3 linked regions of the Bombyx mori genome follow. The protein of the gene in region 2 interacts with the protein of the main gene of each other region in a pairwise test. Links are inferred from orthologs where the notes say so. Each region holds a gene or a part of one and is shown on either strand. Other genes may lie near its edges. The genes, in order: antennapedia homologue protein, homeobox protein extradenticle and C-terminal-binding protein.

Region 1 (8,507 bases), on a different chromosome or scaffold from region 2:
GGGAGTTGTCACGTCAAACTTTTCTCCAGTTATATTTCGATTTATGTCATGCGTCAATTAGCGAATACGAACTCTTGTCTTTTTGCATATTCATTTGCGAAATTCAGAACAATTTTTTTACAAAATATTGTAAAGCTGGTAAGCGAGCTTATTTCATTACATAGGCAGACGATTTAATGGCCTATTTATGTTGAAATAGCCCACAGATAGAAAGTTTTGCTTTCTACCTTGAGAAATTAATCTTACTTACTAACCAAAAATCTAGAAAGCGTTTGCATATACATATATAAGTATTCGTATTTTAAAGGGTTTGATTGCCAACCTGTCATTCACTTTATAACATCAATGGGCAGTAAAAAGCCAATGAAACATCATGGGTGGTCTTACTACCTCAAATCCTTCGCCCCACCAAATTAACATTTCTGCAATTAGGAACGATAATCTTATTGGAAGCCACAATAAAATAAAAGGAACGCACATAGTGTCAAGCTAACTGACGTATTAATCTGGGAACAGACAAATGCAATGATCACGAGATCAGAGGGAACGCTGGTAAATTAATCGCAGTCCGCGTCATAATGGATGCCACATCATGTCATATCTGGATATCGGTGAATATGGAGCACTGAATTATCTTGAATAATATATATTTTATTGTCCAGAACGCAAAACTATTTTGCGGCAGAAATAGGGAAGATCTATCCATGCGAGCTCATGATACGCTTTATCTTTATTACACATATGATATTCCTTCATCATGGATATCGTTTCCAATAAGATTATCATCATTAACATAAAATATCAAATTCTGTATAAATACCTAAATAATTTTTGAATAACGTATAAATTTGTCTTTTACCAGAAATATAAAACTAAATAAAATAAAAATTCAATTAATTTAAAACAAAGTTATCAGAAAAATATTTCGGTGTAATTGATAGTTTATTGGTAGCTTTATCATATAGATACATACTAATAACGCTGTGAATAAAAAAAAAGGCGTAAAATACGTTTTTCATCATTAAAATTACATTGTCACTCTCCTTATCTAACATTATAAAACAGTGTAGCATAAATAAATCGTTCTTGTTCCCACAATAGCTCTCTAATTGACAAATAGTCGAAATGATAAATACTAGGCGTCGGATATTTTCCAAAAATACTCATCCTTTGATCGTCATTTGATTAAGTACCAACGACTGTCGTACGCGAAATGTTATTAATATTATTTTTAATTTCAACTCCAGAGGCTATTATGCCGTGTATTTTAGTTTGATTTATGTCATTACGAAATAAAAGTGGGATTATAAATTTCGAACGAGTCATCGGTACATTTTTAGCGGTCTAGGAAGTGTTTGGTTTAATTTATGTATCAGCTAAAATTCAATGGGAATCTCGTTTGGATGTTACTATATAATTGCATTGTTTGTTCGTTACTTCAACAAGATTTTAATTCACGGAAAAGATTTGCTAGTTCTTTATACTTTAATAAAAACGCACACTGAAACATTTCTGGCTTAAAATCCTTTCGAATTCAATCATTTTGAAAAATCCTGGTGAGCTTTAAAAAGCATTTAATTACAAGCCTATACTTAGAAGCGGAGGCCATGAGAGCGACCTGCGAGTGACTCAGAAAACCCGTTCTTGAAAACGTAAATCAAAGCGGCAGCGTACTCGGTTATCAAATTATCAAAAGCACGTGAGACTTAATTTCGACGTCGGTCAGCTTAAAGACATGTTCCTTGAACCGAGCTTAAGATTCTTATCTCGACCTGGTAATTGCCGGCTAGAACATTCGCTTGTTACGTGTGAGATTAAATTCATAACTACGAGATAATGTACAATTATGTGTACGTAAAGTTAACATGAAAATGTCATGTTTCTTGGGATTTAACTTCGCCTTCAGATGACACCGATATTCAGTAACATAATTTCACTTCAACGAATTTTTTTATATGTTTCTCTCTAATTCACCCTGATTAAAAACGTTCGCTAGACAGTAATAAATTGTGGAGTCGGAACTATTGTGATTGGACTCGATGTAGGCATCTACTGGAATGCAAATGGAAATTGAAAATTAAAAAAAGCGAGGGTCGCAATGCCGCTGGGGCGGTGAAATCGTAAATTGTAATTGTTCAACCGAGATGCAAATTTTTCGAATAGCTATGCTTTTCTATTGTACGTACATTGTCGCGACTCTCCGTTTCCATTATTTTTTTCATCACTTTTTCCCACTAGGTGGGGTCGGCACAGCAAATTTTTCTCTTCCATTCTCTACTATCAGCCGTCAGCTCAACATCCACTCCTCTCTCTCATTCACACACTCCATTTATGTCTTCTTCGGTCGACTTCTTTCCCTCTACCTTGCACTACCATTTCCATATTCATGCATCTTCTCTCTACGCATCACATGTCCATACCACGCTAACCATCCGCACTTTAAATTGCTAATTACCGGGGCTAGTTTGACACTTCCTCTTCTATGCTTACAATAAATAACGATTTTATGTATCCAAAGAATATTAGCCAAAGAATTTTTGGCGGTGAAATACAAAAAAGTATCACCATTTATAAAAACGATCCAAGAAGCTAATAACAAGACAGCACCTAGCTTACGCCTAATGTCATGAGTGACGGTAACCATTCAGTTTTAGAGGTTCATATGCTCGTCTCTCTACAGTGACCATAGAAAATATCTTTTTGCAATGTCGCAGTACTCTCACCGGTTTTACCTAAAAGAAAACCCTTTAGTTTTACATTCAGTACTGATAGAGTGTGATTATAAGTCCACACCACTACTACTTGTTACTGAAGCACGTAAAGTCTACCAAATTCAATACCGTTGCCCTAATGAAATTGAAATTTCCAATCCGTTTCAAAGTGAGCCATACGAAAGTTGTAACATTTAATTAAAAAAATATACAGAACATAAACAAAGTGAATAGAATGCGTCTTATTCGTTTTTTCCCAATTGTTCCCAGGCGTAAGTTATTATATAAACCAATGTAACTACAGCTAAGAACACATTGTCTATAGAGTAGCCGCCATCATTAACTGTCGCTAATGAAGCATGAACTTTTGGATTTTAAATAGCCTGAGCCAGTTCTCGGGGCGGAGATACATTCGGATCCTGTACAGTACATTCTTTTTTCTCTCTCTCTGGATACGTGAAATTTAGTAAAGCGTATCAAAAATGTTGCAACGTGACTTTGTAACTTCGTAAATGGAAACGTATAAGATAATATGTGACGACCGAAATGCGCAGCCATTACGGTAGCACTTAGATGTTGTCTTAATGTACAAAAGTCTTCTCGTATTTTTACCGTTACGCAGGTTTTTTTTGGCTGGACTAATACTTGGTGTACTTGTTTAATTCTAGTAAGTGCCAGATTAAATGCATCATGATTTTTTTTAACTTAAAAAACTAAAAAACAAGATCATACGATAACGTTTGTGTTTCTGTTATTTTTTCGAGAATCAACGACAGTGTAAAGTTAAGTCTTCAGACCGCGATACGACTGTCATTCATGCTCCATCAACTGCTGGGACATGTCGAGGATATGACGTCAGGTCAACCACATGTTGATGTCGCGACTTGACACTATTTCGTCTCCTGTCTCATTTTTGAGGAACTGCTTCCTTGAGACAGACAAAGACAGATTTTAAATGTCTTATCGTGTTTAAGAATGCGGCGCTTGGTTAGCTCCTACGAATGGGGGCCGTTTAGCAGACAGGTCGTCTATAAGGCGTTTTACTAGCAACATAAGGTTTATATCTTCGTGTGTGTCCCAGTTTTAAGACACGTGTCAGTCTGCGTGGACCGTCAGGTCGACTCAGCGCGTGATGACTGGCGTATCAATCCACGAGCCGGCCAAAACAAACATACAATCAAACGAGAACCGCCTCTCGATATCTTCCAAATATTTAATTTTAGATTGACTAAGTGCATCAACCTTTTCTTTTCAGATTGGCCGAGAATCAGATGAGGAGACACCGTCCGTCAACAACGCGTAAATCAACAGTGAGTTCAGCAAACGTCATTTAGTGAATGGATTCGGAAGTGTTTGTGTTGTGACTGAATTGTGATAACGTAGTGTCGGCCCTTGGGGCCGAAAATCTGCGACGGAAAATACGGACGTGAGCCGCGCGGGCTGCGGGCCCGCGATGAGCGCCAACAATTGCGACAGTATGACATATTTTTCTAACGCTTACATGCCGGACATGAGGAACGGAGGCGGTCACGAACATCAACAGGCGCACGCGCATTACGGCGCGGTGCCACAACAAGGGCACGAAATGGATGGCTGCGATCAGCAGCTCAGGCCGGCACAGCATCACTACCCGGCGCAACCTGCGCCTGGAATGCCCTACCCCAGGTTTCCACCCTACGACAGGCTAGGGTATTATCAACAAATGGAACAAAACGGATACCGGCCGGACAGCCCTTCTCAAATGGGGCATATGGGTCCTAAAACGGACGGATATGGACCTAACGGACACCAACCGGCAACTCCCGCAGTTTACACGTCGTGTAAGCTTCAAGCTGCAGCCGCGACAGGAGGAGCAGTCCCCGGCAGCCCACCCTTAGAACAAGCACAACAAATGCCCCATCATATGCACCCCCAACAGCATATGGTCCAGCACGGAGTACCTCCACACCAACAGCATCTCATGTACCCTGTGGACGACATGCAACATCAGACGCAGATGCCCCCTATGCATCAACAATCGATGCATGCACAGCAACCTCCTCCGCAGCAGCCCCCGCCTAATACGAACGCATCGCTGCCCAGTCCGCTATACCCATGGATGCGAAGTCAATTTGGTAAGCACCTAACCTATATTTGTAATTAATGTTATACAGCATTTATCATTATAACATCAATTCACTTGCTACCTTTCAGACATGATCACTTCAGTGGTCTCACGGTATGAGCCCTGATTATTGTACCAATTATCCGGGTTAAAGTTTCTGAAGGAATTAAAATAATAAAATGAAGAAAAAAAACATGGATAACTAATTAATTCTTAATGTCACATATTAATAAAGGTTTGCTCTAATTACAAAACAAAAATCTAATCATACAGTTGTTGTCCGTATATAATGATGTACTGGCATTTTACACAGAAACTAATGACAAAATTTAATAGCATTTGGAGGATAGGCTCTGTTCTTTCGTTTACTCACAACACAAATATCTGAACGTACGATCGAGTATCGAAATGAAGTAAACTTTATTACGAGTCGAACTATCTAACCTAAAAATAATAAAAGCAATAACTATACATCGATAGTTCTTCAAAAATACTATGGATTTATTTTATTTTATTCAACTAAGGTTTTAATGTTTTTCGAAAGTCGTGAATATGTTACTTTCGCCATTTGTGAACTATGATTTGGAAATTCTGAGAGGAAACGAATGAGTGATTAGAACTTAAAGGGTTTCGCATTAAATAGCCTAATGGAATAATAATTTATTAATAATAAATAATTGGAAGATAATTAGAAATTGATAATATTTCTCCTATGTTATTTTCCTATCCTGGTATCGGAAACCCATTAGTGACAATAACAAATACGCTAAGATCCAGAATACATGTATTTTTACAAAGGTACCGACTCCAAGCTCGTAGCTTATAAAATATTTACAATATTATTTATTACACATTATTAAGATATTGCCGATAAAATGTATTATTTATTTGAGTTCAGTTCACGGGTCAAGCGAACGCTAACTCTGGTTTTGCTGTTTTCGTCACGCACTTGCCTGGCTTTCGTTATCTGAGTCGACTATTATCAAAGCCGGCAATGTGACTTTTGGATAATTATTGGTAAATCAGAAAAACGAATTATTGACTTTGTATTCCATTGGCTGTCACAAAACTCTTCTGAACGACATCTTAGATAAATAACAGGTTAAGTATTAACCTTTATTTAATGCAGGTTTTGAACCGTATTCTTTGAAGGAGACGATTATATTCAAATCAATCTGTATTGAAATATCAATAAATTTTTTTGTCCAAATGCACAGATTGCCACCTTTGATAATAGACGACTCATCTGTTGTCTTACAATAAGCCACTCACTACACAGACACGAAACTATGAATGGCGCATTTATTTATTGATTTATGGTAGCCGCACTGAAAATCGCAAGTATTCCATACTGATTTGCGAATCTACGAGGACCACTCTCGTTTTGCATTGACGTGAAACAATAAGAGTCAGAAACAATACCGTTCCTACTGTTCGGGGATTATTTATGGGCCGAAGAGGCATTCAAAAGGAATTTCACTTTTCACAAAATTTACAACACCCAGGACAAAAGCTCACCTTCTGTTTAGCTGACGCCGAATACGAACAATGAGCCTTCAAGTTGTGCTACCGTCTCCTACTGTTTTTGAATTTGTCTGCGATCTAATTTACGGTTGAGTTGGCTGATTTAGAGATTCCATTGTAATTTGAGAATGTAAGCCTAGTAAGTTCGTATTTCGAGATTTAGTTCGGGAATGAATTGTCGAATGAGATAGTTTTGCTGGTTACTTAAACAGAACGTATTTCTATTAACTAGCATGAAATTAAGTGATGTGACTTAATGTTTTTTTTGTTACTGATATCGTGGTGACTATGTGACTGTGTATAAGAGACTATGAGTTTATTTCTAAAGTGAAAAAAGGTGCGTTCGATTTTAAAATTTTAGAGATTCATGTCATTCATACATCTTTGTTACAAAAAAAAACAATGAGATAATTAATTGACAAAATAATTAAAACTTGATGATAAACATTATATAATAAATGAGTACGTCAATAGAATGATATAATGAATAATACCAAATACATTAAATATTAACGAATCATTCATATTAAAAGTTTAGAAAAGTATTATTGAATAAAAGATAAAACTTCAAATAATTTAACCCGCATAAACTACATATAGCCACATGTCCATCGCTTTTATCCTTAACCATTGTAAGTCCTTTGCTTCGTACAAGTAGGTACGTTTGTGCATCAATAGAACGAAATTGACATTAATTCTGATACCGGATCTCTTTCATCTACTAACCGTTTTTAAACGGATACAGTCATTGCTTAGACAGCGATCTTACACAAGTATAAGTAGCTACGTTGCGACCACAATATAAATTGCACAATTTACCCAACAATTGTATTATTATTATTATCTACGAACAGACGCTGATTGACATTGGTTACACTAGGCAAATCGGTTTAAACCTTGAAAACAACTACTGAATTTAGCTTGTGTCATAGTTTAAAGGTAGTTTAAAAGAATTCAATAAAAATTTCTTAATTTTGTCTTACCTAGAATTGGGTTCTAATTCCTTTTGTATTAAAATAAACTTTTTTATAGCAACCCCAGTATGGTTTATACTAAAACCACTTAACTAGAAGCCTGAACGAGCCGAACCCGTGTCGTAACCCTTATCCAAAGGAGCTAGATAAGATTTGTCAATTTTCGGTCCGCCATGAGAGAGACCAGTCAACTTCGGCTAACTTGTTAATTAATTTCAAACTCTACTTCGATACTAACGACGCCGAGACAAACTACACTTACTTTAGATATTATCGAAATACCCACAAATTTTAGTCAAAATTGAATATAAAATTTTTCTCAATAATTATCAGTATAAGCCCGCATTATTGTGATGTCACAATGATAGTACAATACAATTTTTTGTTAATAATAAAAAAATTAACCGATAAATTATATGTTTGCGATGATAAATATGAGTCATTTGATTCACTTATAAACACGACAATTTAAATTATACAGTAGCTTTTTTCGTAATGATCTCGCTAATTTGTTTAATTATATGTTGCGTGTTATCTAAGTAATTTATTACCTCTTCGACGCTAATAGCACTTACAATTAATTTCATACTTACAATAACTCATTCCACTAAATTATCAACAATTATTCAGAAACCAAACAAAATGTATTTAATCTTTGAAAAATTTGATACTTCAAAGATACGGTAGCAAATAGTCGCACTTACTCGTATATTCTCATTGAGTTTCACCTTATCCACTTGAGACTGCCTTCATTAATTATCTTCAAAAATCGGCTGCCATTTTGAAATAAAAAATCAACCAATAGGAACGGATCTCGTTTTAAAATAGAACACTCTGGCGTTCTCAGCGTACGAATCATTAATCATTTGTGAACTAACTTCTGAAGTAGTTAATGATTAAAATGTATTTAGGTTTTTGATAATTTTCTCTACAGCATTCCTGAGGAAATATTGCTATCATAAAAAAAACTGTCGGAAATCATTGTACCGTGTATTCATTTTAATGTCATTTGATAACGAAATTTTCACGAGGCTTTAGATGTAGCACTAATGTTACATGTTTTGTTAATAAAAATCCCCTATTATTTTCCTCTGTAGTCAAAGAACATGTAAAACAAACTACCTATATTGATGATAGTAGTCATGTAAATCATTTATTATAATCTGTTTTTTTTTTTTACCTATTTTTCCTCTG
Region 2 (7,772 bases):
TCGGACAATGGAACAAATTATATAGGTGCTAAACGCAAGCTTTCAGAACTTCATGAATTTCTTTGTTCAAAGTATCATAATACAGAGTTTGGTCACGTCTTAGCTGAAAATCGCATTGATTGGTCCCTAAATGTACCGACAGCTAGCCATTTTGGCGGGAATTGGGAGGCTAATATCAAAAGCTTAAAGTCTCATCTATATCGCGTTATAGGTGATACAATTCTTTCGTTTGAAGAGCTATGTACTGTTCTCACTCAGATCGAATCGGTAATGAATACACGACCTTTATGTGGAACACTCTCTAGTGATCCTTCAGAACCGCTTGCCTTAACTCCTGCGCATTTTTTGAATCTCACGCCTTTGAAATGCTTGCCTGCGGAAGAAATCGATGAAAATTTAACTACTCTTGCTAGACACGATTTGCTAGACAAATTAGTTCAATCGTTTTGGAAGCGCTGGAGACGGGAATACCTTCATACGTTGCAATCACGCCGCAAATGGAACACGCCGGTCGATCCAGTCGTCGTCGGCTCGGTGGTGATTCTGATTAACGATAATTCGCCTCCTCTACACTGGCCTTTGGGTGTCGTGGAAGAAGTGTTTCCGGACTCTACGGGAGTTACACGCATTGCACGGGTTAAGACAGCGATCGGATCGTATTTGCGTCCCGTGGTGCGACTCTGCCCACTACCCAACCAGTAGCACATTTAGATTTTTCATATTATTTAGGTTAGTTGTATATAGATATAGTATAAATTCTTAATTCTTGTAGGAACATAGCGTAATAGTAGATAAACGTAGCGTACTTATTTGAATTTATTGTTATTCGTTTGTTAGATAATACACTTTTTAGTTTTAGTTAGATAATACACGTTTTAGTTAGATAATACTTTGAAGGCGTCCCTTCAAGCCCGGGGGAATGGTTGCGCTGGTTTAAAACTGTTAGTTTTAAGTTTCGAAAAATAGCAACATTTTAATTTGGTTTTGCAAATCCTGTCCCATCCCTCTCCGGCACTTTTACCTACGGATGCGTGCGAGCGAGATCGTGTGGTGACATCAAAGACGAAAAAATATGGCTGAACAACCGCGCGCGCGCTTCGTGTCTTTGTTATGTTAAATACGTAAATAAGTGAAATCGTTGGTGTTTCTCATCGCGGAGTGGTACGAGTCTGCAGCAAGGACTACATAAAGGTATTGTGCATCCTTCCTTTAACGCAGAACTGCCACTTCTTATCGTTTCTTCCCGCAGTCTGTGTCCTTCATTTGCAACGACCAAATTTCAAATATTTCGTAGTTTGCTTATCTCGCGTCTACACCGATATTTTTACCAATCCTTAGTTGATGTACTGATATCCAATATGGGCAAATTATTTCAATTTTTATAGTATCAGTACAAAGTACAAAATAAACATAAAAAGAGGTTACACATTTACATTTTTGATTAAGAGAATCCATACTATTTTATTCTTCTTTTTCTTCTTCTTCTGAGTCGGTCTCTTCATTACTGAAGGTCGTGTCTAATCTAAAATGTGGACCACTCGATGTACAATGCTTCCCCACGTCTTCCTGTCCTCGGCGGTCTTTATAGCCTCGGTTATTGGCAGGCTGGTAAGCGTCTTAACCAGATCAGACCAGCAGATAGGTGAGCGTCCGCGTGATCTTTTCCCGTCAACCTGACCAACTACCATTAGCTTCTCCAAGTTATCGGGGCCTCTACGAGCAATGTGGCCGAAGTACGCGAGAATACGTTGGAAGCAGATAGCGGACAGGTCCATTGGTCCGGCGTGCTGTCCATGGAATTCGCAACATCCGTCTCCAACGCCACATTTCAAAAGCGTCGATCTTTGCTCTCTCACGAATCCTGGACTATTATATTAATGCTTATTAATTAAATAAACGTGTTTTTGTGGCAGGAAATTGAACGCATGGTGCAAATAATTCACAAGAAGTTTAGCTCCATCCAGATGCAGCTCAAGCAGTCCACTTGCGAGGCAGTGATGATTCTGCGCTCACGGTAAATGAATGACAAACATTACAACGTCTACATTAAGAAAATTATTTTACAACCAGCTCAACTTTGGCCTCAATTAAAACAATGAAAAACGAATACGATTCCCGCTTGCAGTTTCCTGGACGCGCGCAGAAAGCGCCGTAACTTCAGCAAGCAAGCGTCGGAGATCCTCAATGAATACTTCTACTCGCATCTGTCGAACCCGTACCCCAGCGAGGAGGCGAAAGAGGAGCTGGCGCGCAAGTGCGGCATTACCGTATCGCAGGTAACGGACCCTTGGCTCGCTTTACAGCTTCCTAGACGCGAGACGCAAGCGACGTAACTTCACCAAGCACGCGATAGAGTTGCTCAATGAGTACTTCTACTCGCACCTGGACAACCCCTACCCCGGCGAGGAAGTCAAGGAGGAGCTCGCCAGGAAGTGCGCCATTACTGTGTCGCAGGTAGCGCACAAACGCGAGGACACATATTGCTTTGACTAATTTTAATGAATTAGGAATATGTATTTCAAGTTTAAGTGAGTTGAAAAAGACAATATTATAAACTATTTAGTTAAACTAGCTGACCGGGCAGACTTCGTAGTGCCTCAATCTATAAATAATAGACCCAAACTTTTGTATAAAATAAACTTAAAACAAACCAAAGGAATCCATCTGACGGGGGACATATAAAAGGAAAAACAAAATTGTTATTTTTATTTAATTCCGAGCATTTTCATATTTATCTACCTTTTAAACCTTCTCTGGACTTCACAAATAATTCAAGGCCAAAATTAGCCAAAACGGTCCTGCGGTTCTCGAGTTTTAGCGAGACTAACGAACAGCCATTCATTTTTATATATACAAACAGCAGATAATGAGTGTCTTCAAGAATGTGGGAGTAAGTGTTGGTTTCTATTGCAGGTCTCTAATTGGTTTGGCAACAAGCGCATTCGCTACAAGAAGAACATTGGCAAGGCGCAAGAGGAGGCCAACCTTTATGCTGCCAAGAAAGCAGCCGGTGAGTGGGACTAACGTAAACATGTTTAGTTTTCAATTTATTTATTGAATTAAGAGCTTAATCTTAATTACAAATTCAGGTGATAATGAGATTGATTAGTAAAGGAGTAAGTCGATGAAATTAGTAGTATACAAAATGATCAGCACTGCATTGAAGTCAATTCAAGTGTAACAGTAGTTTTTGCCGCACATAAATAACCTATGACGTCACGACTAAACAAATACATGATTTTATCATTGAGATGACTAAATCACAATGCGCTAGTTCACATTAGGTCGGACCGGCATCGTTACGGTAGAGAACAATGTATGGTAGAAAGGGTAGAGTGGCAAAAAAAAGAAGAGAAAAGCTATCAGTTGTATCAAACCTGTGGACACAATGTTGACAAAATATGGCCAGTGACAAATTTAAATTTGAAATTATTGTTTCGATTGTCTTTGTAAGCTGTAATAAAACTTATCGGAAGTGGTTACCGCCCCTTACGGCCATCGCCGTTGCTAAGAGCATAAAAGCTCTTCTTATAATTGAGGACTGCCTGTTTGAAGAGAGACACACGTCCGTACTGTGGATAGCACCGGGGTGAATATTGAGGTGGGGCTTGACTCGAACTGTTGGAATGTAGTAAAGTATTTCTGGAAACGCATTGTGATACCCGCAGCGGTTCCAGGTAGTAGGGATGAATTCCGTTCCGGTGGAGGGTGGGGACCTAATGTGAAGCAGCTGTATGAGTAGTCGTGTGCGTGTGCGTGTGCGTGCGGAGAGTGGTGAGTGTGTGCGCGTGTGCGTGCAGCAGCGGGCGCGTCGCCGTACTCGCTGGGCGGAGCCTCGGGCGCGGCCACTCCGCTGATGTCGCCGGCGCCGCCCCAGGACTCGCTGGGCTACTCGCTGCCGGCGCCGCCCTACGACCAGCAGCCGCCCTACGACGCCTCCATGCCCTACGACCCCATGCACCAGGATCTATCGCCCTAATCGCCACACATATGTAACTATCTTTTATATCAACATTTTACCAATGCCCAGTCAGGACTTTTTTCTTGACCTAATTTTTTTCACAACACATAAAATATCAAAATCAAAGCATAACAACATCTATGTGGTAACAATGTGGCGACCTTCGATATTACTTCAATCAAGTTGTATTGCTCTATTGAATTAAAAATTAAGGCTTAAGCAACGCTAGCCATATTTTTATTTCATCTTAAAAGCTGAAAGTATCGATCCAACTGATGGTGGCATAAACGCAGATGGCACGACATAGCTCATACCGTAATACCCTCAGTACTTCATAACTTTATCTGCAGTTCTTCAAATTCTAATTAGGGATGTTATCTGACACATCTTTTTTTGAAAACTGAAATGCTTTTCTATTCTCTCTCTCTCTTTTTGAAACATCAGAAGGACAAGTTCCAACTAGAAAACCTTCCGGGTGATCAGCAATACAGCCATACTCCCCAAAAAAATAAAAACCAGTTAAAGACAATTTACAGTTAATTTAAATAATTTTCAAATGTGACCTTTCCACATAATACTTTTGGAGGATTCTCTGTCACAATCTATACTGCAAATCTATATATATAAAAATGAATTGCCGTTCGTTAGTCTCGCTAAAACTCGAGAACGGCTGGACCGATTTGGCGAATTTTGGTCTTGCATTATTTGTGGAAGTCCAGAGAAGGTTTAAAAGGTAGATAAATATGAAAATGCTCGGAATTACATAAAAATAACAATTTTGTTTTTCCTTTGATGTGTCCCCCGTCGGACGGATTCCTTTTGTTTGTTTTAAGTTTATGTTATACAGAGGTTTAGGTTTAGGCACTACGAAGTCTGCCGGGTCAGCTAGTAAATTTATAATTTGCATCCATTTCAGGTTGACGACATGACGCATAATCGTGCAGCTTCCACTGAATTGCCATTTACATTACATAATATTATGTATATCGTTAGGTAAAGGAGTACTGCGAGTGCTCGCCTCTACGCGCCCTCTCGGAACACAACGACCTCTGCAACCTGCAATATTCCAAATCAATGGAATGTAAATTATTTAAAACTGTTCACTGCTTGTTTTCTCATGTATTTGAATATTTAAAGTTCCATTACTGAAGTATTGTTACGATGAGAAATGTGTTCTGAGAGTGTAGCCCTTGCCTTAGGACATAGAACATTGTATACTATGCATTATTAGCACGTTACATAATATTTTTATCGTATTTTTGGAGGTAAATGTAATTGAAATGTATTTAATTTTTATTAATCTATATGACTGGCCCCCAGTATTTATTTTATACAATATTTTTCTAAAACGACTTGAAAAGGCAACTTTATTAGTATTATTTTGTTTTTATTATTATTTTAATACCAGTTATAATTTTTTGAAGTAATTATTTGGACAGTATTAGTATTAATTATGTCGAGAATCAGAAGGCCGGGATCTCTGTACGTTCACTATTCAACTCTACGGTGGTTATATTTATACGATAGCTGTAAGTCTTAGTTTATAGTGTAACATTATAGATTTAAGGGATCAGATATTTTGTGCTGTAATATTTCCACTAATGCGTCCCTACCGTGTATACTAAAATGGCTTAGATATTGTTATTTTCCGACTTGGTACTTAACTAAACATATGTTATCGATTTTAATTTAGTTCTCATTTTAAATTTAACAGCGAAATTTCGGTCCGCCCTCAATCATGTACGTGTTAGATCTGCCCATTATTATTGCCATTATGAAAAATTAAGACTTGAATTATGTTTTTGATTCATCTACAGATTAATGTTTGGAACGAAATTTGACTGTGTTGCCATTCATTTATATGTAGAAAAAAAAAAAATGTCTGAGAAAAGTACGCACGCCCATGTTTATATACCGTTGATAGTGCGGACATTCGTGTGCAATTTTATATTTTAATGAATGGTTGTGTTACTGTGTCGAGCATGTTAATGGAATTGATTATTTTATACTATTACTTGATTTTTTAATCGATATTTTGAATGTAATCATGTGATTATTATTTTTATTATTTGACATGATTTTTGTTGTGAATATATAAAACTTCAGTGATTTTTTTTTGTAAATTTAACAACATGGTGCTGTCGGTGCGGCATCACTTTATCTCGTTCAGTTGTAAGTTTTATTATGTTTCGTCGTTGACTATCGCAGAAGGATCAAGACTATTTAGTTCCACGTAGACGACTATTACGGAAACGTTGCGAGCGTCACATTATACGTGTTCTAAAAACAAAATATCTGAAACAGTATACGAGAAATTAAACGGAGAAATTAAAAAAATATTTGTTTAAAACTGTGGAACGTTAATATTATAAAGAGACGCGTCGTCGCCATTAATAATTATGGTTTAGAACTTACTATATTTATATGTGACGACGCGGACACCATGTATACGACGACGAGTTCAATGTTATTGCGACCATCAGATTGACTAAATACATTTTTTGTGTAGTTATAATTGACGTTTTTTTTTTATTTGAAATTCCCAACTTTTGTTTTCACTTCTCTTAATTGTATACAAGGAATAATCATCTGGAATTATGGCTTGGTTCCCTTAGCCCAAAATTTTCTCATTTAGGTAAGTTAATTACACGTGATAGAAATATGGTAAAATCCCGTACCTGCCTGCGGGATTTGAACATTGGCATAGTCGCATCGCTTGATACGAGTAGGGATACCGAGCACCCTAACTTTAAGGCTACGATGGCCACAATATGCAGTTTAATGACGAATTTAACCTAATGACTCGAGACTGGGAATTGAAGCAGAGAGTGGTGATATTGTAGTCAGTAAATTAGATCCACTGAGAAGATCCTAGAAACTCAGTGAGTTGTGTCCGAGTGTAATATATAGACTGTAGTGTCGTTACTTATATGACACTACCACTATACATCACTAGACCAATATGGCGGCTGTTCTTTCGATGTAGGTGCACAAAACAAAGTCACGTGCTTACCTTGTCATTATGCTAAACAGTATGTTTCCTAAGGAAATTCATAGAATAATCTTATATTATAAATACGAAAGTTTCTGTCGACTGGTGAATTTTATCCTTTTATACAAAACGATGATTCTGATGAACCTACAATGTAAGAATGGTATAAATATTGGAGTAGCACATAGCTCTAATATAGTTTGACGACCGTTAGATGACGCGCGATGAGTTTGGAGAAATTTAATACTAATGCCGGAACTAGGTACTCTCTTTTTGATATTTACATCGGTACACAAACAAGTTCATTACTGACCTAGTGTTAAGTGGCCCATAAACGCCACAACGTAAATCCCGCGGATTGCCTTGTGATCCAAGGTGTTTTTTTGTTTATTTTGAATCATCGCATATGAGCTTACAATTGTCCCGATAGTAAGTGGTTACGACGTTACTGGACTATGACCAGTGTGCTTAGTGCGAGTGTTTTAACTTCTCGAAAGTAACTTCGCGTAAAAGTTAACTTAAATTTGTAGGTATGGAGTTGGAACAGCGTCCCTAGATTGACGTAATTAGACCGTAGTAGTAGGACCGAGTCTCGACCAAGACCAACTTTTCACCACAAAAAGACTTGTTTGCAAAATAATACAATAGTGTTGTGTTTGTATATTTAATTTTATCAGGCGCAATGTGACCTTGGCCATGTTCGTTCATTATGTCAGTTTTCGACGCCCGTCCGCTTACTCCTCGCTCGGTTAGTGCAGTGAATACATTCAGGCAGTCAGGTTGACTCCGGTGGACTAGGGTTATGTTAAAGAATATTGC
Region 3 (9,087 bases), on a different chromosome or scaffold from region 2:
CAAAGCTGGTTAAATGGCTTTTTTTAAAAAAAACCAAAGCAAGTTTTATTTTTGTCTGTCTATTATTTGTCCTGGCTTATATTGGAAATGGCTGAACCCGATTGTAACAAGATTCCTTTAGCAGGCTGAAAAATTCTTAATCAGTTTATGTTCTACTTTTTATTAAATTTTACATAATATTTTCAATAAAGATTTTCAAAAAATTTGCGAGAATTTTTTCCTGTTTTTATGTTGTTATATCATTGGTGATAAACGTAAGAGCCGTTACTTCAGTGACGCGTTGAGAAATTTCGTCTATTATTAATTCACAATCGGTTGACAAGTAAAACATATTATGCATCAATTTTAAATTACCTGTGAATCCACAATTCATCGCTCGTTTTAAAGTAAATCGTGAGAACAATGTGCAACGAAGTTATTCACATAATATTTCGAATAAGGTCAACGCGCAATTTAAATACTGACGTGTTTAGTGTGGAGTTTTTAATGGTTTCTCATGTACACAGATTATCGAACTTTTACGTGTGTACGTTTTTCATAATCGTTTCTCTGAGCATGTTGATACAGCATTCATGCAATTGACACCAGACCACATTCTTAAATATTCGATTGTAACGAAGTCACTTAATTGAAAGTAATTTTGAAAGATGATAGTAGCGTAGCGTTTTTATACGTAGACTTCAAAATATGTATATTTTTTAAATTAATACGTGAAGCAAAAACTTTGTATCCCTTTTTACGAAAATTGCGCGGACGGAGGAGTATGAAATTTTCCACACTTATAGAGAATATAGAGAAGAAGTGCACAATGCTAATATATTTTTTAAATAATGCATAAAAGATACATTAAATCAATAAAGAAAACATTACACACCTACATACCATGTATTTGACGCACACACGCATGCATACTATTTATTGTCAAACTTTTGTTCTTGACGTCTGTCGTCAAATTGAGGATAGATTAAATATTGTTTGACTTTGTTAGTATTTTTTATAGTGTAGTCTTGGCGAAATTTGTGATTATAGAAGTAAAAAATACAATCATAATAGTCTACAAACTTACAATTCCAATTAATTTTAGTCGAATTTCAACTACTGCGGGACCTTTAGTATTTTTTAAAGTTCAAGCCTATGTATGACTCTGTCGCATCTTCAAACATAAACCGATTCAAACTATTCAAAGCTTTTTTGATGGCGCCTGTTATTGGTATTGTATTAAATAAATCCTATCCACTCTTTCCAGTTTGGCTTTTTCCTAATTACGCGCTAGTAATTCAAAATAGATAATTGATATTTTATGTGACGTCTTCATTTACTTATTTGAAATTTAACTTTCAACTAAAAATATTTAATCGACTTTTCTTAACATATTTTTGAAGTGAAAACTTCTTCGATCAATAATACTACTAGATTCGCGATTAGCGCTTCAAAAGCGGCCCGAAAAATAAGACCACAAATTTATTTGTGGTCTTATTTCAAATTAGTATGGTCCAATCATAGCCAACACTAAGACGTCAAAACGCTGCACTGCGCGTTCAAAAACGGAGTAAAAAACCACCGTAACACCAAGGTTTTGGAAGGAATATATTTTTTTGGTAAATTTATATTATTAAGTGTTTTTCATAAAATAATAAACACAATTATATTGTAAATAAAACACAATTTACGAATATTGTAATTGTTTGGCCAATGTTTGCAACAAGGCACCAACTAATGTAACAAACATCACCTATTCTTGGACAGGGAATGCATAGAGTAGTTTTGTTATTTTATAATGTTATTTTTGTTTGTAGATTTCCTAGTAGCCCCTTGTCGCTGTGCACAATGGATATATATTGTCGCGAAAGAAAGAGGAGAAGAAATATAGAACTCTTATAAAAATTCTAGAATTGTTCAATGGTGGTGGCAAATCAATGCAAAAAAGTATTAAAAAAACTTTATAATATGTATGTGTAAATATTTTAAGCGTATATGCTGAAAAGGATTTGTTTTCTGGGGGAAACGAACACAGCCATAAAATAAGCCTAAATTAAACTGATTATAGAAAAATTCATTGATATAAGATTACATTATATTTGTAAAAAAGAAACCGCTCATATAAAAATGACTTCTAAAAGACAGCTTTATAACAAACTGAATCTGTTTAAAGTTAATTAAACCTACATTATTGTTTTAATAACTTCTGTATAAAGAATACGTGGAAAACATGTTTCGTGTTTCCTTTCATATTTTTTTTACTTTATTCAATTTTATTTTTTATCACCTATTTGTTGTAATAGCGGCAATGTAAAATATTATCTACTACTTTTTTGAATCGGTCAAAAATAGTTGCGACCATACAAAACAAACCTAAAACAAATATGTATATTCTGCAACTCTATGTCTTTCAATACTTACTGTGTTCTGAGCATTGAAATGTAATACCAAGAACTACATCTAGTTCCACAATACAATAAGCACGAAATTTTAAACAAATATTTTTAACCTTATAAATTAGGCTTTAAGTATCATTTTAGAATAAATATTTTTGTACTGATGACTTTTTATGTTCAAGTGACATTTTAAATTTATTCCATAATATTCTTTTTCTGACGAAAGGACCTAAATACATATATTTTGCAATGGTAATTAAACTTTATGTTTAAGTCTTAAGGTTTATAATAAACTGAAGTCGTTAACATTATTAAACTTTTTTCTAAGAAATGAAGATGTTTTCGTGTCTGCAAACGTGGCCACTGGAGCGTCTTATTTTTGTTCCTGATCCGTAATCTAGTACTATTATTGATCGAAGGAAAACTTCTTTAGAATTGTTGTGATTTCAAACCGGATGCAACGGAAAAAACGACAGGTAAGAGACACAAATACAAAAATGTGTAGGATGAAGCCAGCAAAGAATGAGACAGAAATATACATACTATTTAATACAGCGCCATCTGTGAGATTTAATACTAACGTGTGTATGAAAGCTCTTGTAGTGAATTTTAATTTAGGATTATACGTGAAATTAAAATATCAATTCACAGAGTGCGTTACCTTACAATTATTTACTAATGACAAAAATTTTCATATACTTAAGACGTTTAGGATAATTGTATTTTAATTTTGGAAGGTTTCACTTCTACCACGTGTGAATTGCACACATTTTGTTTTTTTTTTACTAAGAAATTTTCTACTGATGACTTCAAGGCCAACTTCACGGTATAATCATACATACGTGAAGATAAGACGCAAGTGCCGACACTCGCATACATGTAACTATTGTTAGGTGCCATTATACGTTTATCATCCAATTGACGGACGGGTAGAAATAGCCACTTAAACTTTGCTATGTAAAAAATTGGGTTGGCAAATTATGCTCGGTTGCTAAAAGAAAAATGACAATTTTATGGAACAAATTTGAAGTAAAATAATTCCTATGATTATGAAACTCAATCATGAACCATAGAAATATATATTTTAACTACATACTACACTTAAATTCTTAGTGCTTAAAGTTGATGGAAGTTTTTTTCTTTTTTTTTTATTGCCCTTGTAGGCATACGAGCATACGCCTCACCTGACGGTGAGTGATTACCATCGCCCATGGACTTCAGCAATGCCAGGGGCAGAGCCAAGCCGCTGCCTACCATTGAGTATTCTCCACAAGCCTCGTTTGAAGAAGGACAAGTCATAGCGCTCAGAAAACACTGTGGAGGGAAGCTTATTCCAAAGTGAGACTAAAAGGGGTCTTGCAGCCCCAAGTTATTACTAACTTCTGCGGGAACTGTCTGCAAACTCTCTAATCGCTCACCTCATTTCGTTCTAATACCTATACTAAGCACAGAGGACCACCATGGTCATTACTCTGTCATATCTATTAGCCACAATAATTAGAGTTCTACTGAGATTTACATTTTATGTTTCAAGATGAAAAACTGCACAATTGTAGTTTTTAGGTTCCGATAACCACTTGACTAGGAGGAACATGATGCCAGTCCATGTATGAACAATTTCTTTTTATTTAAATCAATATTTTGTATGACTTATACGAGTAAGCACATGTAATTAAATTTAATTCTGTCATAGAATACTATTCGTGCTCTGCCCAGCTAATAAACAGAAAAATCTCACCACTAACATAAACTTCACCACTACACCGTCATTTCTCATAAATAGATGATAAGCTAATACATTAAAGGTTCACTCATTGTCCAGAGGATTTTAAACAATCTGACTTTTTAATGAAAATATGTTGCTCTATATTGTTAATTTAATAATTACATATAATTAGTATAACTAATATGTACATAAGTGACAGTTTTGCCCTAGTATATACACACACACCAATCATGATATTGTCATTGGCCAATATTTGCCCTTTTACAATCTATATTGACACACAATCCACTAAAGTATGGAGGATACAATATATTAGAGACAGTAAAATTAGGTCGGCTCCTGTTTATCTTTAAAGGACCCTGCTTATTTAATGAGTATCAAGACTACAATACAATAATTAACTTAATTTGATTTAAATGAATGAAATGAAAATGAATAATTCAGTTAGATAAACCAACACAAAACAAATTACCACATTACTGTTCGACTTGAAGAAGTTTAATTTTCTCTTGATTATTTTTGCGATTAAGAAGACCTAGAAGTCTGGGTAAATATATCCAGAAATATAAATCAATTAAATTATTCATTCCTTAAACTGTATTTACTTAATCATATGAAACATTTAAAAAAAGATTTCTGTTTTAAGTTTTATTTCTAAAGGCTATGAAAAGTTCACATAATATTAAAACACAATGTATATTTAGGGATAGTTAAGATCCAAATCCAAACTTTCATCGATTTGCAATAGCAAAGTTAAATGAGTGACTAATCATTCCGAAGAACATTTTAGTGTTTTAGAAAATAAAAGTTGTAGAAGTAGTATCTTTCATCAGTATCAATATCTTGAGTGCTGTTATTCTAAATAATTTTCAAATTTTTTGTAAGAGAAATTCATATTTTCTTTTTAGTTAAAATAACTTTATATTGCTTTCCGCCAGTTTAGTTGTGTACTTGATTTAATATTAGTGATTTAAATATTTTAGTTGTGTTACCTCAAAAGTATTTTTATAATAGCAAAATTTGCAAATAGACACTCGGTTCATGTTTAAAAGTTTTGTTATTTTGTAGCATCGTAAACAATATTTCGGCCAATCTCACCTCGTGACATTTAATTGTACAAATTCCAGAGTTATCAGCTCACACACATCACAACCTCACAATTGTCACAAGTTTATTGAAACCGAACTAAATGCTTGATTCTCATTTTAACGACTATTAGTGTTAAGTAATATGAGTCTAAATTCTAGGTAGAGTTTTCTAGAATAGCCGAATCACGATCAACACGTTCTCGTGCGAGCAAGAGATGACGCGTCGGCGTCGCCGCGGGAATGTCGTCGGTCCTCATCGCCACGGCGAGGCAATCACCGCGCACCGATACTATCCGCTTCGACGCTACTTTCAACTTAGCAATTTCGTCAAAGTCAACATAAATAACACTTCGAGTTTATACCTCGCATCACCAAAATTTAAGTCGTTTAGAAAATTAACTTACCGTAAATAAGCGAAATCCAACAACAAAGACCAGCCACGCGCTCCTATTACAGGACACTCACAAATCACGAATGCACAAGGTATATGAGTAAACTAAAATCACAAAATCGTCAATTTTATGAACAGCCGGCTTGCTGAGTCAGTTAGAAGAAAGTTCTTCAGTTTATCGTAGGTAAATTCACTAAACGAAGAAACTAAGCCGCGAAGCACCGCCAGCTACATACAAAATGGCGGATTTGCGTAACGAAAGTGACGCGCTGACGCGCCGATGCTGACAAATAATGGTAGAGTCAGTTAATATTTGTCTATGACAAGTAATTTGACGGCTTTGTTGTAGTCGATTTTGCTTAAAACCGATTTCGTCGCCTTCAGTAAAATTTAACTTTTAAATCTACACAAACACAAAAATATATTTGATTTTTTTACAGAAATAACTATTACAAATTACCCTATCGTTAAAATTCAATATAGATATAAAACTATAAACATATTTGATATTTTTAACAATCAATCAATTCAATTTTGGACACAAACAACGTCGTTTGAATTCGTCGCTTGGCTTAAACCATAACCAATCACCATCAGGTGGGCCATATGCTCGTCTACCTACAACGGCAACAAAAAAAATAAAAAAAGTTAGGATTGGACGAATGATTCATTAAGTTTCCACTAACTTGCGGGGGAAGTTCAAAACGTACAAGTCAAATACCTTTAGCTGTGCGTTGGAATCTGGCCTTCCGGCTTCTATCTTCCTTCTTACTTCTTGTATCCTCACCGCTGAGGGTCATGACTTTTGTGGAGTAGTTTCTGATGGGTTACTTTTTAGCACACTGCAATAAGTCTCCGGTGGAAGAGTGGATAAACATCGGACTAGTTTTATTTCAAATAATTGTAAGTAGTAATAACACGTAGTAACAAATAGTAATATTAACATATTGGGTACACAATCCAACATTTTGTTATTATCTTAACGTTAAAATAGAAGAATAATTAACACGGACGGAATATATTATGCAGTTACCTTATACAAATAGTTTTTTTCAGCATTAGTATGTTAATTTCTGAATCTTGTTCCATATTATTAAAATATCTGTGACAAGCATGTATAAATCATAGATAGCCAAAATTATGATGGGATATACTCGGGTCCTTCCTAAAAGTCAGAGTACTGAAATCCAGCTTATTATTTCATTTCATCTCATGTCATTACATTTTATTTGATTTCATTCAATTTCCTTTTGGTATTGCCGATAGTTCAACTTTTTCATTCCGCTCCTTTTCATTTTTCGAATTAAAAATGTAGGTATGTGAATCATAAAAATTGAAGAACTAAACTCGATACTGGCAGCAATGACATCTTAAAAAAACCGTCTGCCATACTGAAAAAAATAAGAATGTATTGTCTTTGGTTTGCGTTCTGAAATAAAGAAGACTTGAGAAATTTTCTTCATTAAAAGCTGTTTCTGGGGAAGAAATTACAATTATTGGGCAAATTATACATATATTAAGATAAAGAGATACTGGAGGAGATTGCGAAAACAGTTGTTTTAATCTTTAAATGGAAGAGTTTTAGAGGAAAGAAAACAACTGTTGAACTCAGCAGGCAACTATTTTTGAACTTGAAAATCAATCCTTCATCTCTGTGAAATCGCTTGCAAATGACAGAGACAAAATACAAATTTAGCTTGCTCAACTCGCTGGCTGATGAACCACAGGAACATTTGTTTGTCAAAAGAAAAAGATACCCACAACGCAAGGAGTTGATTAAAGGCTCGAATTCAATGAATTAGAGTTAGTATTATTTATTCGGATTTTACGCTTAATGAACTATCATGAAATCAGATTTCAAGTGAAATTATTTGTTTTTGAAAAGTTTCCATTACATTGCGGAATTAATTATATTGCAAGTATTCATTACGTCGTGGTTTTGCGTCCATTTACAAATATTAAGTCAGCTGAGTTTTGTTTTTATTTATATAGGTCATAATTTTGCAATCATCAGCCCGCTCAGACGAATATCGTTTTCAAAATGAATGAGATCAAATCTATGGAGCATGCGACATTGAAGGTAAGTTTAAAATTGTCTATAAAAATGACATCAGCCCTTTTTCTACATGATGGATCGAAACAGATCGATTTAAAAGCCTCGAATATTCGAGTATAAAAAATATGGCAAAAAACTATTCTTAAATTACGAAACTCCAATATTTTTTTATATATTACAAATTAAGTTTATCACAAAAAGGACTTGATATTGCAATATCAAGCATAATTAAGCATTGTATTGATGGTAGGGCATATTGTAAGCTCGCAAGTATAGGTAGCACATATAATTTCTAAAAACAATAAACCATCAAAACTAAAAACTAAACCAACTAAAAGCTAAAAACTAACCAACTAAAAGCTAAAAACTAACCAACTAAAAGCTAAAAACTAATTAAAACTAACTGTAAAAATAAACCAACTGCACAGTTTAAAACGCCATTAATTTATTTTTGGTATATAGGAAGTATAAGCAAATAAGGAAATGAGTATAGCATATATTTAGAATAATTTAGATGATATAAAATGACCGAGAACATGATGTAGAAAATTAATATTGTGAACAAATGTTGTAACAATGGCATAAGCATCTCAGATGAAGTCATTGACTGCTTGGTGAGGTCTGATAATAATGCTTAAATAGATATTTATTTTTGCAATAAAAACAGGTTAGCTTACTTGCAAACTTTTCTAAACAGGTGTTTGGATCATTTCTTCCATCAAAGAATTTTTTTTTATTTTATAGTTTCTACATTTTACAATGTATATAATAATATAATACAATACAATATAATAATAACAGTAATATTTAGTAATTAATTCACATGCTAAATATATTACCATTTTAAATTAGACAAATTGACAAATTTTAGCAGCTATGTAGTGATTACCAGAAAAAATTTAATTATAATAAACAAAGTGAAACTAATGTAGGCAACATAATTATGTCATAGATACTACTAGGACTAGTAGTCATTATCATCATCATCTAGGACTAGTGGTGCTACTAGTAGTAGATGGTGAGTTTTTGGTTGTAGAGGTGAAGTCCCGCAATTAGACCAGTGATGGTAAACATGCCTACTGAATTTTGGCAATGAATGGATGCTTCTTTAGTAACTTGTAATAGTCTTCTCAGCGTTCTTACATCCATTGATATGGGGGCGTTTTTCCTCACCCAAGCAAACGGCTTTCTTGCTTAAATGTAAATACAATAAATCAAATTTGGAATTGATTTTGAACATTTGAATTATAACATTTGCTTAAAAATCTGTTCAAGGACTCTCTGTCATGGAAATGTGAACAGAAGTGTAAACTACAATTTATTATTTTAATCACAGTTTGCAGCTTAAGAATTATGTAACAAAACTATGTATGTATGTATGTACATCAACAATATATATTATAGTATGTATTGTAACTATAATATTGAACTCTTACTATTTACTTAATAAT

Evidence for each region.
Region 1: the proteins of homeobox protein extradenticle (region 2) and antennapedia homologue protein interact in a protein complementation assay, tested with the Drosophila melanogaster proteins (2 studies listed by BioGRID). The link is inferred for Bombyx mori from reciprocal best matches to the Drosophila melanogaster genes exd and Antp.
Region 3: the proteins of homeobox protein extradenticle (region 2) and C-terminal-binding protein interact in a two-hybrid assay, tested with the Drosophila melanogaster proteins (2 studies listed by BioGRID, with this or other methods). The link is inferred for Bombyx mori from reciprocal best matches to the Drosophila melanogaster genes exd and CtBP.

What each region holds. Positions count from the first base shown.
Region 1 is NC_085112.1:5,679,020-5,687,526, reverse strand, and holds part of antennapedia homologue protein, read left to right. Parts: intron 1-3,966; 5' UTR 3,967-4,164; coding exon 4,165-4,825; intron 4,826-8,507. UniProt on the Drosophila melanogaster protein: Sequence-specific transcription factor which is part of a developmental regulatory system that regulates segmental identity in the mesothorax. Provides cells with specific positional identities on the anterior-posterior axis.
Region 2 is NC_085121.1:1,648,027-1,655,798, reverse strand, and holds the end of homeobox protein extradenticle, read left to right. Parts: intron 1-1,913; coding exon 1,914-2,014; intron 2,015-2,125; coding exon 2,126-2,276; intron 2,277-2,913; coding exon 2,914-3,010; intron 3,011-3,668; coding exon of another isoform or gene 3,669-3,742; exon of another isoform or gene 3,743-3,800; coding exon of another isoform or gene 3,801-3,877; coding exon 3,878-3,992; intron 3,993-4,877; coding exon 4,878-4,890; downstream 4,891-7,772. Other genes in the region: sulfiredoxin, read left to right, coding at 7,756-7,772. UniProt on the Drosophila melanogaster protein: Transcription factor which acts with the selector homeodomain proteins altering the regulation of downstream target genes such as wingless (wg), teashirt (tsh) and decapentaplegic (dpp), thus affecting segmental identity.
Region 3 is NC_085132.1:9,959,400-9,968,486, reverse strand, and holds the start of C-terminal-binding protein, read right to left. Parts: upstream 6,128-9,087; 5' UTR 5,594-6,127; intron 5,440-5,593; exon of another isoform or gene 5,200-5,439; intron 1-5,199. Other genes in the region: E3 ubiquitin-protein transferase MAEA, read left to right, coding at 7,622-7,660. UniProt on the Drosophila melanogaster protein: Corepressor targeting diverse transcription regulators. Hairy-interacting protein required for embryonic segmentation and hairy-mediated transcriptional repression.